Linked DNA regions of Diceros bicornis minor. The protein of the gene in region 1 binds, or shares a complex with, the protein of each later gene. Links are inferred from orthologs where the notes say so. Each region holds a gene or a part of one and is shown on either strand. Other genes may lie near its edges.

What was found.
Region 2: the proteins of UBE2F (region 1) and DCUN1D3 are in contact, whole or in part, in a crystal structure (PDB 4GBA), measured with the Homo sapiens proteins. The link is inferred for Diceros bicornis minor from reciprocal best matches to the Homo sapiens genes UBE2F and DCUN1D3. Residues at the interface, in NP_001265234.1 of Homo sapiens: Leu2, Thr3, Leu4, Lys7, Leu8; in NP_775746.1 of Homo sapiens: Glu108, Glu109, Glu112, Pro122, Thr123, Glu124, Met139, Cys140, Glu194, Ile204, Ala207, Leu208.

The regions. Positions count from the first base shown.
Region 1 is NC_080776.1:25,402,087-25,409,896, forward strand, and holds the start of UBE2F (NEDD8-conjugating enzyme UBE2F), read left to right. Parts: upstream 1-4,328; 5' UTR 4,329-4,434; intron 4,435-7,810. UniProt on the Homo sapiens protein: Accepts the ubiquitin-like protein NEDD8 from the UBA3-NAE1 E1 complex and catalyzes its covalent attachment to other proteins. Together with the E3 ubiquitin ligase RNF7/RBX2, specifically neddylates cullin-5 (CUL5).
Region 2 is NC_080765.1:29,849,590-29,857,347, forward strand, and holds the start of DCUN1D3 (DCN1-like protein 3), read right to left. Parts: upstream 3,286-7,758; 5' UTR 3,264-3,285; exon of another isoform or gene 3,191-3,263; intron 2,993-3,190; exon of another isoform or gene 2,906-2,992; intron 1-2,905. UniProt on the Homo sapiens protein: Contributes to the neddylation of all cullins by transferring NEDD8 from N-terminally acetylated NEDD8-conjugating E2s enzyme to different cullin C-terminal domain-RBX complexes and may play a role in the cell cycle progression by regulating the SCF ubiquitin E3 ligase complex, after UV damage.

The DNA.
Region 1 (7,810 bases):
TGGAGGAAGGCAGCTTCTCTCAGAGCTCTGTCAGCTCTGGGGCCAGATCTGATGGGCAGCCTGGAAGAGGGAAGAGTCACAGAGGTGCAGCCTGCAGGAAGGGGCACTGAGACCCCAGGGGTGACTTACAATCTGACTGTACGATGTCCCCATTCCAGTTACAATGCACAGTCCTGGGGCCACCCACGTGGCGTAGCTGTTAAGTTTGCAGGCTCTGCTGCAGCAGCTCGGGGTCCACAGGTTTGGATCCTGGGCGTGGACCGACGCACTGCTTGTCAGGCCATGCTGTGGCGGCGTCCCATATAAAATAGTGGAAGATGGGCATAGATGTTAGCCCAGGGCCCATCTTCCTCGGTAAAAAGAGGAGGATTGGCAATAGATGTTAGCTCAGGGCTAATCTTTCTCACCAAAAAAAAAAAAAAAGAAACAAAAACAAAAACAAAACAATGCACAGCCCTTGTTAAAATGTGCCCAGCACTGCTTTAGGGTGAATGATGAAAATCTGAATCCTATAATATTTAAAAGACCACTCTGATTCAGTCCTTTTCCAGAATAGCTGTCATGGCCCATTTTATTATTTTTTAAAGGAATAAAAGGACACATGATGTTTTCCCTGGGGGCCAGTTAAAACAGCAGTCAAAAGTTAATTATACCAGATATGTAATTAAAGTCACATTACTTAGAATCTAATTGTTGCCTGGGTAGCCCCTTACATCATCATCATCGTCACCATAATTTGAGCCCCCCCAATGGCAAGGAGTCTGTCCCCTCGCTGATACCACAGAGGATCCCAGGACTGGGTCACCAGAGGGGCCGATGGGTCTTGGTTAAGACAACCTCTCCTGTTCCCCATAACCACTTCCAGCCACTCTTTGTCTGGTCTCATCTTTGCCTCATCCTCCCCTCTCCAGAGCACTTTCACTAGGAAAGGCCCAATAAAGCTTTTCCTAAAAATAACGTGACCTGTTTCCACTTTTAGCAACAGAAAGCACCAGTAGCACGTTGGGTTTTGTCCATTAGTTTTCAGCCTCCCCAGATGAATTCTAAGGCAAGGGCTATGGTCAGCATAGCTATTCTCCCTCCCTCCTTCTGCCAGCAGTCTCTCAATTCAGGTGGGACAGCGGAGACTCTGATCTCCGCTATGTGGAGCAGACCTCAGGGGTCACAGCTGAACCCCCCATTCTATAGTGACTTCCCGAGTACTAGTTCCCCAGGGAGCTCATGCTTCTGGAGGGCAGAGTCTGCGCTTTATATATTCTGTACCCTCTGACACTCAGTACCAGGTAGGTACTCATCATATAGTTCCTGCTTATTGAAATAGATTTCAGAAGACCCCGTAGGGACACAGGGCCTATGTGTGTCCACTGCTGTCCAGTGCCCTGGGCCTTGCTCCCCGGGAGAACTGGGGCTGGCTGGAGGGCAGGATGCATGTCCTGGAATAACCTAGAACGACAAAGAACAGGTTAGAGCAGGTACCAGCTGAGGGCGGAGTTGAACCCTTCCACCCACATCTACTCCCCATCTAGTGTCGCCAGGGCTGTTTCCCAATTCACGCAAGGGGTCAAGTTTGGAACATCACTAAGGTCGTGCCCCAGGGAAGGCTTGAAGTGCCTAGGACAGTGTGGGGCAGAGGGAGTGGCACAAGTGGACCTGGTGGGCCTGGCTCTGATCTCAGCTCACCCAGGCTACAGGTTTTACCTCTCGGGGCAATTCTCCACTGAAACACAGAGCCAGGAATGTCTACCCAATGGGGTGCCACTGATGTGGAAGATCTCTGCTCCATCCATAGTGAGTGCAGGAGGGAAGAGCGGAGTGGATGGCTAAGGAAGGTGTCCCTCCCCTGGCTTTCCTGGCAGAGGTCACTTTTCCTGCCTAGGAGGCCCTACCCTAACCCAGCAGGCAACCAAGCCCTTGCACTAGGCATTGTCACTCAGCTGGCAGGCTGCCTCAGGCTGAAGATTATCCAGGGCCCTGGCTTGGTGGTACCATGTCATCCAGGTCAGGGAGCCCCGGACCAGGCCAGACAGCCTCTGAGATAGCCTGTGCAGTTGTGTCCAGAGGCAGGCCTGGCTGAAAACAGAGAGGGGATATCTCCCCTTCCACGGCCCAGCTGGAAGCCTTGGGTTGAACTTCTCGGGGTAGGCATGGAGGAGGTAGGAAGGACACCTGGTGAACTGTCTCTACCTGCTCTTCCTCTGGCACCAGCACCTCTTTGGGAGACTCACAATTGAACCTCTACCCTTCCTCCCATACACAATGCCGTGTGCACACACACACACACACACACACACACATGCACGGTGGGCACGTGATCCTCCAAAGCCCAGCCAATCCCTCCCAGTGAATGTGAAAGAGGGAGGGAAGGGGCAGCCCCTTCTATGGCCTGGATTGTAAAGATGTGTTTGAGGCCAGGCCCCAGCTCCAAGGAGGCATCTGGGAGGACAAGGCTAGCCCCCAGAGGCCAAGACTCTTGGAGCCACTGAGAGCGACAGGCCAGGTTCCCCGGTTCCTAGAGCTGACCTTCTTTAGGTTCTGTGAGCATACCCAGCCTTCTAAATCTTTTGTGCTTAAGCTAGTGAAAGTTCTGTTTTTGAAGGAGCCCGGGATGAAAACCAATTGCTTCTGCAGGAAGCAGGAGGGCCAACTTTGCCCCTTACCTGCCTGCTGGCACCACCAGCTGCCTAAGGGGCGTGGTGCACCAGTTGAGGGCAAATCCTAGCTGCCATATTGGGCAGACTACTTCCTTATCTTTAAAATGGGGATAATAAAATACCCGTTTCAAGAGGTTGTTGTAAGGATTACATGAGTTAATAATCTAGTAAACCCTAAATAAGCCTCAGGTGAAGACATGAGGCAGCCTCATGAAATGGAGCTAGAAATGGCTTTATATATCCACAACGGTGAGCTGTGGGCCACTGTGCGGTGCAGCCCATCCTGTAGACAGTGTTCCCAGTGAATAAGATGAGTACTCAAGCCATTCCAGTCCTTCCTTCACCTGCCGCCTTGCTTCAAGGCCTTATTTTCTCTTGCCAGGTCTCCTGCAATAGCTCATGCAATACTTATCCAGCAGATGTATTATGTCCACCTGTTATGTGCCAGGATGGGGGGAGGGGGAGTAGAAGGAGGGAGAACACAGCAGAGGAGGGCCCGGGGAGCTGAGCTTAGGGAAATGGTAGGGGGGCGGGGGGAGCACAGGGCTCCAGTAAAGTCACAGAGGGGCACCTGCACCTCCCAGTCTCTGGGGCCTCTCTGACAAGTGGTGTCTAAGCTTGGGAAAACTCAAGTTAGCCAGGTGAAGAAGGAGGAAATCATTCCCAAACAGAAGGGATACCATGAGTTGTGTGTTCTTCACTGGTCTTCCTGACTCTACTCTCCTCACTGCCTGGCTCCCACTGCCTCAGAGTCAGAGCCTCTTTTAGAAAGAAAACTTGATATTGGTACTCCACTGTTTAAAACCTTTCAATGGGGCTTCTGGAAATAAGATTCTAACTTCTTGGTCCACGAAGTGAACCTCATCTTTCAGATGGCCCACTCCTCCAGGAGCCCTGCCCGACCTGCCGCCCAGCCCGCCCCCTCCCCCGCCCAGCGCCTATTACCAACCACACTGGGACACAAATGGACGTGAGAAGAATTCGTACTCAACAAGCTAGAAATACAACAATTTGAAACAGATTTTTAGAGTAAGTACTTTACCAATGTGGAAGAGATGAAACAGGAATAAAAACCATTAAGACAAAGGCAGGAAAGGCCCACCCACTCCTCTGCGAGCTCGGCCGAGGCACCCGGGGGGTTGGCGGCTGTTGGCACGTCTGGCCGCCCCGGCTCCCGGCCCCTACCCTGCCGGCTGTGGGGCAGCCCGGTCCTCCGCAACCTCGGCACTGCGCTGGGCACACAGAAGACGCCCCATCCGCCGAGGCGGTTAATTCCGGCCTGGCCGCTCCTCCAGGCCAGGCCGCACAGGGATCCTCCGAGCCCCACGCCCAGTGTCAACGCACCACCAACTGAATGGAGGCAGGAACGCCGCACAGAACCCCCGGGGCCGCGGCGCGCAGGCTCCGGTACAGACGGGAGACCCGCTCCCGGCCGTCACTCGCCAATCAGCGAGGGCCGCGAGATCCGCGCCCGCCCCCGGCCGCGCCCTCTGCCAATCAGCGAGGTCCGAGCAGCCTGCTTCCCAGCCCAGCCGCAGCCGGCGCACGGCGCTGTTCGCGCGTCAAGTTCCAAATAAAGTTCTTCGGAGCTTTGAATTTTTTTTTTAAAGCGCCAGCTGCAGCAGCGGCCGCTGCGGGCGAGAGCGGCCGAGTCCCCGCCCCGCCACTTCCGGTCCTGCCGCCCGGAGCCGGTGCGGCTGTGAGGGGCCGCGTCTTGCCGCTGCCGGCCGGCCGGGCATGGTGTTGGGCGCCGGGTCCGCCTCGCCTGTCTCGGGGTGCCCAGGTGAGGAGCGCGCGGCCCTGCGCGGGCGAGGGGCTCCCGCGGCGCCGGTGCACCGGGCGGGTGGAGGGCGGGCGGCGCCGAGGCCGCCTCAGGCCGTGCCGCCCCTCAGGACCGGGCGCCGGGGGCCCGCGGGCGGGTGCCGCGGGGCGCAGGCGGGGGGCGCGGGGTCGGGCGGCGGGAATGGGAAGGGCCGGGTCGGGCGCTGCAGGGCGCTGGGACAGCCCCCCCTCCCCCGCCCCCCCCGACCGTGATGCCGGGTACACACGGCCTCACGCCGCCGTCGCGGGGAGCTGCTGGCCGCATTGTCCAGAGGAAACGGAGCGCGAGTGCTGGGCCAAGGTCACCAGCCCGACGGGGCCGGAGGAAGCGGGGCTCGGACGCGGGCGGTCCGACTCGGGACTGCCTCGGGGATCAGGCTAGGCCGAGAGGGCGAGGTGGGGGGACACTCCCGCCTAGCCGGCGTGCTCGCAGCTTCCCCACGATGGGGGTTGGGGGTGGGCACGGCTAGTTTGAAGGGTTTTGCTGGCCGGGAGACGGGGAGGGCATCTTGGAAAGATCAGTACAGCCGAGTCTTGGATTCTAGACCTGGCTCTGCGGGTGTGTAATCTTGGGTGTGGCCCTCTTCTCCCTGGGGCTCAGTTTCCTCATCTGTCACATGAGGGGATTGGGCCCGCCCCCTTCTGCATTCCCTCCAGCGCTGGAGTGGGGTCAGGATGGATCGGAGGGGCCTGAGAAGGCTTCTTGGAGGGGATGTTGGAAATCTGGGTCGGAATCTGTTACCCTAGGGAAGGAGCGGGATTAGGTGGCGAAGGGAACGAGGGCATTTCAGACCTGGCTATCACATTGAGCAGAAGCTTCCAGAAATGAGCAGGGAGTTGTTGAGGAACAGGGAGGATGCTCGCCTGCCTTGTGCAGAGGATTCCCTGCTGGGTAAGCGGATGAAGGCAGGGGAGAGGGTAGCAGTGGGAGAGATGTTCAGAGACAAATCATCACCAGGCTAGGAGGTCTGAGGCTTGAGGACCTCTGCCAGGACATACCTGCCATTCAGGTAGTGTGCAGAAGGGGGCAGGTTTACTGCTGAAAATAAGAGTTGGGCTCCAAAGGTCGGTCAGCCAACCAGGGTGACTCCAGGTGGGAGGTTCCAGGGCCCCAGCATTCTGAAGGAGGAGGGTAGGGTGTGGACTTTTTTGTGTCCTGATTTGGGCCTCTTTGGCTGGAGAAGTTGGTTGTCCCCTAGTGTCCTGCAGTTCCATCTTTTACATTGAGATTGGGACTTTTCCACTGCAGGAAGAATTGTAAATGAGAAGTTCCCCACCACGTGAGCTGACTGGCCCGTGATGTCCATGCACAGGTGACATGGCCTGATTTTGCCGCTACAGGTGGGAATGTTGTGTAAATATTACTTGGTATGATGAGACTAGTAAATAGCACATAAGAATCTTCTTTGAACAGTCTGAAAGCAAGACCCACCCAGAAGAGGAACTTAACCAGGCCAATTACAACTTGTGGAATTTACAGACTGAGCATGCTGTTCAGTATAGCTGGTGCGTTACCAAAAATGCTGCCATAGTCAGAGTGTCATTTGCAGTAAAGGGGAAGTTTAGTTTTAAAATAGCTCTTTAAGGAATGAAGCATATTGAAGAAGGTAAAGAGAATTCCGAAGCAACTGCAGGTGTTCAGCTAACCTCTAGACTCTTTGAATAATTGTTTTTATTCAGATCTCTTTTATAGTGTTAATTTAACAGCTATGAACATTCCCAAATTTGTCCTTTGGTTTATCCCTAAAATGTCATGTCATAATGGTAAAGATGATGGAGAAGTAGATGGTCATTACATACATAGATTTTTTAGAATGTTAGGAAAGTGAGTTTTGTCTTATCTTCTATGGAAAACAAAACACCAGTGTTTTCTTTTGTATCTTGCCTAGTCAATTAATAAGGGCCACAGACTTGTTGAAGATCACAAGCCAGGAGTCTGTCTTTAAGTAGAATTGATTGAGTATGGAGCATACTCTGCCCACGGAGAAGAATTCATTGTGGGGTAGGGGTATAAAAGAATTAAAGGGGCTGGCCCGGTGGTGCAAGTGGTTAAGTGCGCGTGCTCGGCTGCGGCGGCCCGGGTTCGCTGGGTTCAGATCCCAAGGGTGCACCGATGCGGCGGCCCGGGGTTCGCTGGTTCGGATCCCCGGGGCGCACCGACGCACTGCTTGGCAAGCCATGCTGTGGTGGCTTCCCATATAAAGTGGAGGAAGATGGGCACGGATGTTAGCCCAGGGCCAGTCTTCCTCAGCAAAAACAGAGAGGATTGGCAAATGTTAGCACAGGGCTGATCTCCTCACAAAAAAAAAAAAAACAAAGAATTAAGCCGAGTCCTCAGACTGCAGTGACACAGAAGAGTGCCTTGGTATGAGCCTTTATTTGTGCGAGTGAGTCTTGCCAGGACCCTCTGAGTGGCTCCTTCGGTGCAGGTCCTCAGGGAGCTGGGTGTGGACTTGGCATGTGCCCTAGCACTTGCTTTCCCATGGGGCTCTTTATTATGACTTTCCTAGGGTACTGCCTGCTGAACTCTCTTTATGGACACTGTTCTTTTATTTTATTTTTTGGCATATTTGTATTGCTAAGGTTGGCTAGAGGATAAAAACCAAGTGGATTTGTGTGGTGCATCCAGCCAACTCCCAAGTGATGGATGCATATCTTGGCCCATCTTCAGGCGCCCCTGACGATGTGGTAGGACCGATGCTCAAGTCTGGGTGTGTGGCAGTGGACTTGGTTGGGAAGGCAAACACTGCTTTGTGATCCAGATCTGCTTAAGGGATTCCTGACAAGATCATTCCAGGTGGGGGCTGAGCAAGAGAGCCTGCTCTAGATGGTCCTGCTGTCTCTGGTAGCTTGTGGGCTGGAGCCCCCACGGGTGTTCCTGACTCTACGCCCACCTCCAGCACCTCCTTGTGAGGTTACTTTGTAAACTGAACCAATAGCTGCCTGCCCTGGGTAAAGCTGAGAAGATGTGCGTGCCTTGGTTATGGTCCATGCTTCTGTGTAGGTCCATCTGAGGAGACGGCATGGTAGAGGGGGAGTGAAGAAAGTAGTGTTGGTTTGTTTTCACATTTGTCAACTCTATTGAGGTATAATTGAAGTACACTAAACAGCACGTATTTAAAGTATGCAGTTTGATCAGTCTTGATGTATGTATGTATCCCTGAAACCAGCACCACACTCAAGATACGAATGTTCCATCCTCTCCAGGAGGGAAATTAGTGTTTCTGTCATGACCACTTCTAGCAGGTGAGTGGCCTCAGACAACCCAGTTCCTGGGCTCCTGTTGTCTCAGGGTCCACATCCGTAAAAAAAGAGTGGGAGTTGGTGGGGAGATCCTT
Region 2 (7,758 bases), on another chromosome or scaffold:
TCATTTAGCATTTCTAATACTGACTTTACTACAAATAGCCTAAGCAACATTTAAGTCTCTCTACCGCCTTGCTCAAAGGGCCAATTCACTCAAAGAACACACTAGTCACTGTTGTGGGGTTCAAAAGAAGAAAACAGCAAATTCTTTCTGTTTCTGAGCCCACTGTGACATGGCTCAAGAGGGCCAAATCAAGGAGGAGTCTTGATTGGGCCTCTCAAGTGGACAATCTGGTCAAGGTGAGGCTGAAAAGCAGCTGACTATTGGAGATGAATGGCCCCAGCAGAAGGCAAAAGTAGGTTACATCCCTTGGTTACATGTCAGCCCAAAGATGCCGACATACTGGGATTGGTCCCACAATGGTCATTTATCTAATGTAATCCACTAAGTGAACTTTTAGCACCAAACTACACCTCAGCTGAGTGTTATTAGTCATCAGGCAGACCAGACAAGAGTGGAAATATTGCAACATAAATCCTGCCTCCCTACAAAAAACAACTTCAAACTTAGATCCTGATGGTCATCTTTGTAGACCAACAGGGGCATATTATTATCACTTGCCCAACCTTCAACTCTAAATTCACACACAGCTGGAAGCAAAGGAGGACTCGTACCAGAATACATTTGGGGTATTTATTATGCAATTTTAAATACGAGCATATGAAACAAAATACTGTAAGGAAAAAGGTGTGCCCTCAATTGAACATTCCACTGAATTCTGAACACACAGCTTGAGGTTTATCTGCCAGAAAAGCCCCAGGTGACCACAGCTGCCTTCTCTCCCACTCTCAGCAGGGTGATTTTTTTTTTTTATTACAATAGTCCAACAGTACCTGCAAAATAGTAAGTGATAAGACTGTAGGAAAGGCAACAGAAATAATCAAAAAGGAGGATCATTTTCTTTTTCTTTCTCGCTCTTATTTTGCCTACCTATTCTGAGCCCGCCTCGACTTCTCTGACTAGACTCTTTTCACTCTCCCCTTTGCTCACTAGGCTCTGGCTATGACTGCCTCCCATTCCCAGTCCTCCCCCACCTCTCCACCTCCTTTTACCCCACCCCTTTCTTCCCACTCCCCAGAACTTGCCAAACTAACTCCAGCTAGTTTCTGCACTAGCTAGTCCCAGAAGCTGGAAGGCTCCTGCTCTATCTTTGCATGGCTGCCTCCTTTTTATTTAAGCTCATGTAAGCTTTTTACATAAGGCTCAGCTTAAGTGTCACCTCCTCAGAAAGGTCTTCCTTGACTGAATCCTAGTCAGACACTTTCTATCACATCATTCTTATTTTCTTCAGCACTTAGCAAAACCTGATTTATTTGCTTATTTATTATCTGTCCCCATCTCCCACTCCCCTATAAGCTCCATGAGAGCATGCACCTTATGCTTGTGTTCACCTTTTTACACCCAAGTGGCAGAAACAGTGCCTAGCACTTAGCAGCCAGTTAATAAATGCTCGTTGAATGAATGAATTTTAGACTTTTTATTCAATGGTTCCAAATCAATTAAAGTGTGAACAGCAGTCATTCTTTTCTTTTGTTGCATTTCTGTGAAATATCTACACATGCTGTTACTTGTACAATCAAAGCATTAAGTATTCTGTTTTATCAGGTCTGAAAGCCCTGCTGAGTAGGATGGCATCCGTTATGATAATTCTTCTAGCAATATACATGTAAACTCAGCTACAGAGGGATAGGATTTATGGATACTTTCTAATCAAAGGATCCCTGAAATTTAGGCCCTAGCTCTTAAAGTCCTTCAGAGAAAACAGTTCCAGGTTCAGCAGAGGATTTCCAAAGAAAATATCAACATGAAAATAAGAATCATTACACTTCACTCTGAAATCCTTATGACAGGCTAAAGGAGCGCTACTTGGTGTTTTAAACCAACAGAACATCAACCAAGAGACCTCCTTCCAATCATTCTTTGCTTTCTTCAAATAATTTTTTCACATCCGTTACTGGTTTGTATTTTTCTTTAAAACTAAACTAAACAGATCACATTGTCTCATTTAAGACCACCTATACAAAGAATCAGCTCAATAAATAAGATGGAAATCAGCACAAGCCGAATGTGTCACTGAAGACTTGTGTGCCAGACACACAAAAGGAGAAAAAGATAAAAGAGCTATTGTCCAATTGTAAATACAAAAAAGTAATATTGGGTTTACTGTTCTCTGAAGTGCATCATGAAGTGTGGATGGAGAGAAACACAGAAATCCAGAATTAGCTTAACATCAAATCATTTTGGAAAAGAGTTGACAACATACAAATTCCTCACACACAAAGTATTTAGAGCAAGAGACCTTGATTCCTGGGCTATGATGCCATTTAGGAATCCTTGCAAGGGCTTTGGAATTCCAGTATTCATAGGAGAAAATGCTCATTTCAATCGGGAGCTACCAGATATTGAGAAGTACTCCCAGTGTAACACAGCCTGTAACTGAAGTATTACAAAGCTTGCAGTTAAGATCTGGGATAGAGGCTGAACACCAAATTCAAAAGAGGTAACCAAAACCAAGTGCCATAAAGAAAAGAAAAGAAAAAAAAAAAAGACAAAACACCACGATTACCACCTAGCCACAGAAAACTAAAGTGGAAAGGAGGGGTGTGCATGAGGGAGGATGAGGGGTGAGACGGAATGGAAAACAATTACATTTGTCACCCCGTCCCACTTCCTATACAGGACACAAGCAAGGCCTCCAGCCCCATTACCTCAGGCACAGATGGTTATCGTTTATAGCAAAGGTGCATAGAAAGGCCTTCAGGTCTGAGCCCCTTAATTCCGGGGCTGTTAATGATTAGAGAAGGATGGGGGTGGGGAGGGAAATGAGGGCGGAGGGAGCTGGAGATTCACCCACCACCTCTCGCTTGGGCTCCTACCTCACAGCGCTCACCCGGGGCATAGGACCAGAGTCTGCACCCCTCCAGGGTAGCTCCGGCCCCCAGATCCCAAGGCCCTGGGTTGAGGGGTGCTGGCAGTGGGGTGGCAAGGACAGTAGGTAAGTTTTCTGAGCCCCGCGGCTGACACGCCACAGGCTCCCCTCACAGCCTCTTCTTCCAGAGGGACCAGTCCAGACAAGGAGCTGATTTCCACTCCTCCCTTTCCACCCCCCCCTTCTCGAAGGTACCCAACCCCCGCCCCTTCATCTCTCAATGCGTCCCCTTTTCTCAACCACCAACCCCCTCCCCAAACTCACAGCTGCTCCAGAGGTTCCTCCAGTCAAACCCTTTCTGGAAACGACGGCGGCCCGGCGGGTCCAAACCACCTACCATCCCCGCTCGCGTTTCCAGGCTCCCTACCCCCGCCGCCTCCGCCTCTTCTTCCACCACTGCCGCCTCCTCCTCTTCATCTGCGGCCCACCGGCGGCGGCCGCCTCGAAGCCCCGCCCCCTCCATCGCCTCCTGCATCATCACTTCCGGTAACCCCGCAGGCCGCCCGCTCCAGGAGGGAGAATAGAAAGGGGCGGGGAGGGAACGGGTGGAAGATTGCGTCACGACGTACGAAAACACGTACGAAGCCGTCGCCAAGTAAGGGCAAAGACCTAGCGACCCGGCGGGAAGGCTAGGAGGAGCTGGACTAGACCATTTTTTTGGCTTGAATGGGGGGGAAGGATAGCGAAAGGGGTAAAGGGAAAATAGAGGATGAAGTTGGCTACATTGTTGGGTATACGGCGGAGGGTGGGCGAGAGTTAAGTTTGAGGGAGGCTCGAGACCCCCGACCGAGGACTAATGCTCCCACAGAGGTCAGCCCGGTGGTTTGGTCCGGCCTGGCCTACCGGACCTTGCCCGAACTCCGTGGACTGCGGCTCAGCTGGGCTCCGGGCGCCGCCTCCTCCCAGCCCGCTGGGGGCTGCGGCGCTTCTGTGGGTGGGGAAGGCAGGACTGACGCAGAGTGAGTGTAGGGGATGGAGACGCTGACTCCTGGCGCGGGAGACTGGGGGAAGGGGTTGGCTCCCCAAGGGCAGGGATGGGGGTGGGGGGAGTGCGACGTTGCTAGGAGACGCGCCTGTGTGACCCCAGCCTCTCGAGGGCGGCTGGGTGTCATCGCCTTTGGCCTCGGGAACCTACCAAGGGAAGCGGCCCGAGGGCCAGGAAGGGGAGGCCTGGTTTGGGGACGCCGAGATGCCTGTTTGGGGTCCATCTGAGACTTTTCTGAATCCTTTGGATCCCGGAATGTAAATGGGAGATTAATAGGGGCAATGCCGGGGGCAGGAGGCGTCTAGCTGGGGAAGGTTGACCCAAATGAGATCTGTACAGGTTACGGAGACTTTTTAGGACATTGAGAACCAGCTTCTTAATTCCTTTGGTCCACGAAAGGAGGCGTTGTGCCATGACTTTTTATTCGAGTCCAGGAGAAAGTTAAAAAGTAAATCAATAAGGAAGATATCAGACAGTGAGAAATGCCCCCAAGTCGTAGAAGTCGTAGAAGCTGGGGGGAGGGCCACTCTAAATCGGGTAAGGCTGTTCGGAGGAGGCCAGGTTTTGCGGAGATCTGAGAAAAAGAGGGAAGTAGAGGAATGAGCTTTCTAAGTGGAGAAAAAAGCCAACGGAAAGGCTTCTGAGGAAGGGAACGGCGCGAAGGCCAGGTGGCTTGGAGCAGAAAGAACAAGGGTCAGAGTGGTCAGTAATGAAGTGGCAGGGCCTGATCCAGCCCAAGGTAAGGGTTTGGCTCTTATGTTACCAGAGGGTTTTAAGAAGGGGAGTGACCTGCCCTGGTTTACATTTTTTAAAAAATCACTCTTGGTTGCTGGATAGAGAGGGCTAGAAGTAGTCAAACCTGTTAGGAGGCTGTTGCAGTGACTGGCCAAGGGAGAGGTGATGGTAGTGTTGCCGTCTCATTGGAAATGGAGAGAATTAAATTCAGAATGTATTTTGGAAGTAGAGCTTACAGGACCTGCTGCCGAATTGGATGTGAAGTGTATGGGAGAGGGAGCAACCAATGATGACTCCTAAGGGAAAACAGTTTAGAAGGGAGTATCATAAGTTCTCTTTTGAACATATTAGATTTGATAAGTCTATTAACCATCCAGGTGAAGTTGTCGAGAAGTTCGATATACGAGTCGGGAAAAGTCATAGAGGTAATAAATGTAGAGGTTTATTCCTAGATCACCTAAGAAGACGGTGTAGATAAAGAGAAAGGCCCCTAAACTCCTTGGGGCTCTTTAAATTTACAGATTACCCAGAGAAGGAGAAACCAGCAAAAGAGACTTGTACAGACAAGGCCTCAAAGATAAAAGGAGGCCCCCTTAATATCCTGTAATAATGAGACCCACCCTCATAATTAGTGAGACTCATCCCTCCACTAGCCAGTTTCTACTATCCTCTAAAATCTGGCTCAAGTCCCTTCCCTCCCTCTCTCTCCCGGTTGTCAATGCTTTTGGACTTGTGTGCAGGTGGTTTGTGTCCATTATAGCAAGTCTGACTTTGCTTGTTAATTGTTTGTATGTCTGGCTCCCCCATGGACTATTTCTTCTTTGTGTCCTACTGGCTCCTGGTACAGAGCCTTGCCTATAGGGCCCAGCATGTGGTTGTAGCTAGGTAGGAACACTGTGTTCATAAGATATCAGCCATGGACTTCCACAGCTTCTGACAAAGGGGCTTTTGTCCCTGCTGCTACTGCCACTGCCACCACAATCGACATATGGTCAATCTCATAAAATCTAGAAAGGGCATCAGAAGAAGAGTCAGAAGGCCTGAGTTTCAATCTTGGATCTGCTACTGACCAGCAGAGTGGCCTTGGATAAGGCCTTTTTCTTTGAGCTGAAGGAGTTGGCCTAGATTAGAGATTGCCAACTGGCAAAATAGATATTGCCTGCAAACATATTGTTCGGCCCACAAAGTGATTTAAATTATTTTTTAAATTTACTTGCCAACATTTAAAAATTGGACATCAAAATCCAGATTTTCAGCTTCATTTGGAAATGAGACAATCTGGCAACACCAGCCTGAGGTTCCTACACAGCAACAGTGAACTGGAGCCAATGAGCTGCTTCCCCCTCTGTTTGTGGCTCAGTGCTCAAGTTTGCCAAAGGCCTCTCCCTTCCACTACCTGCCTGACCCCTGTGGGCATTTGATTTGCAATTCTTGGTCTAGAGCTGTGCTGTTCATGTAGTTGTTTAAATTTAAATAAAATAAAAACTTAAAATGCGGTTCCTCAGATGCACTTAGCATATTTCAAGTGCCCAATAGCTACATGTGGCCAGTGGCTACCCTGTTGGACAGCACAGATATAGAATATTTCCATCATTGAAGAACATTCTTCAGTCAGTGCTGGACTGGAGGAACTTGAAGGTTCTGGGGGTGCTAATCATTCCAGATGCATAAAGGTGAACAATCTGCTCCTGCTCTCAAGGAACTATGTCTAGTAAGGAGCTCCAGTGCCTCTGCAGATGAGAAAAGTTGCTTATTTGATAGTTATTCAATAGTTGGAGGGTACTTGAAAACTGTTGTGAAGGCAGGAACCCCTGGGCAGAATGAGGTTATTTATCAGATGGTTCGATCAAGGGTCAGGTGCTAGAAAGCAGCTGTATCTAGTGTTATAACTACAGCCCTTTTTGTCAGTTTCTTAATGCAGTTCCTTAGGAAATTATCACAAAGGAAGGATTTAAATGTTAATTTAAATGTAAGTGTTTTGTGTTCTCTAACTTCCCTAGTTCCCATGAGGGGTTGAAATCCTGGGTAGTTATGAATGAATGACTGGAGTTGATCATTAGCGTTGACCTAGTTTTCATCTGTTTCCATCGCACACGCGTGCGCGCGCGCACACACACACACACCCTCACCCTCACCCTCTAACACCACCTCCTACTTCTGGTAACTGGTTCCCACCACCTCTGATTGACCCTTACCTTGTCTTTATCTTTTCTTATATGCTGATAAGGAAACAGATACTTCCATTTATTTTGAATTGAGGAACCAAAACTTGGTTTCCAAAGATAGCTGTATATCTCTTGGTTACAATAGCCTGATTGGAGTTCCCCTGACAAGTATAATCTTTTGAGTGCTCCAGTGCTGGTATATTTAGAATGAGTGTACTTGCCTCATATGATCTTGTTTGGGATAGTTTAGAAGTCTTTCAGACACCAATATTTTCTGTTTTTCCTTGTGTTCTGAAGATTTCCCATATTACAGGGCCTCCCCTAATTTCTTTTCCTTTAAGTAAAATAAAAATACCATCTACCCTCTCCTCCCTGCCCTCTATCTCTGACACACCATATTGTCACTTTCTATGTAAAAAGATGCTGTTTCAGAGAATAGCTGTGGTATGATTAAGTACGCCGCACAAGCATATCCTGAGATCTGCAAAACAATGTGTGGCATTACACTTCCCTTTTTGGATTCTAGTAACCAAAAACTGAAGCCAGGACAGGAAACAAGTCCGTGGTGTGTGTGTGTATGGAGGCGAGGAAGGCTAGAGGACAGAGATGTGTGGGGCACAGTTTAGCTTGAAGGTTATTTGATTTGGGTAAGGATGATACCGTATAGGATATGGATGTATGCCAGAAAGTAGGGGGTATAACAGATCTAGGAGAAAAGAACAGCAAAGGATAAGCAAGGGGTAAGAGATAAAGGAAGGAAAATAGGAAGGGAAGCCTGGTCATGCCTTTGGTGTTGGCACCTGCATTGTATTTCCAGTAAGAAGCATGAGCTGTGGTCTGAAGATAAGCAGTGCCTCCAACAGGGTTATTTACTCATACTGAAGAACAATAGCCCTTTGCTGTACAGGGATTATTAATGATCAGAGGGAAACAGATTTAGGAAAATC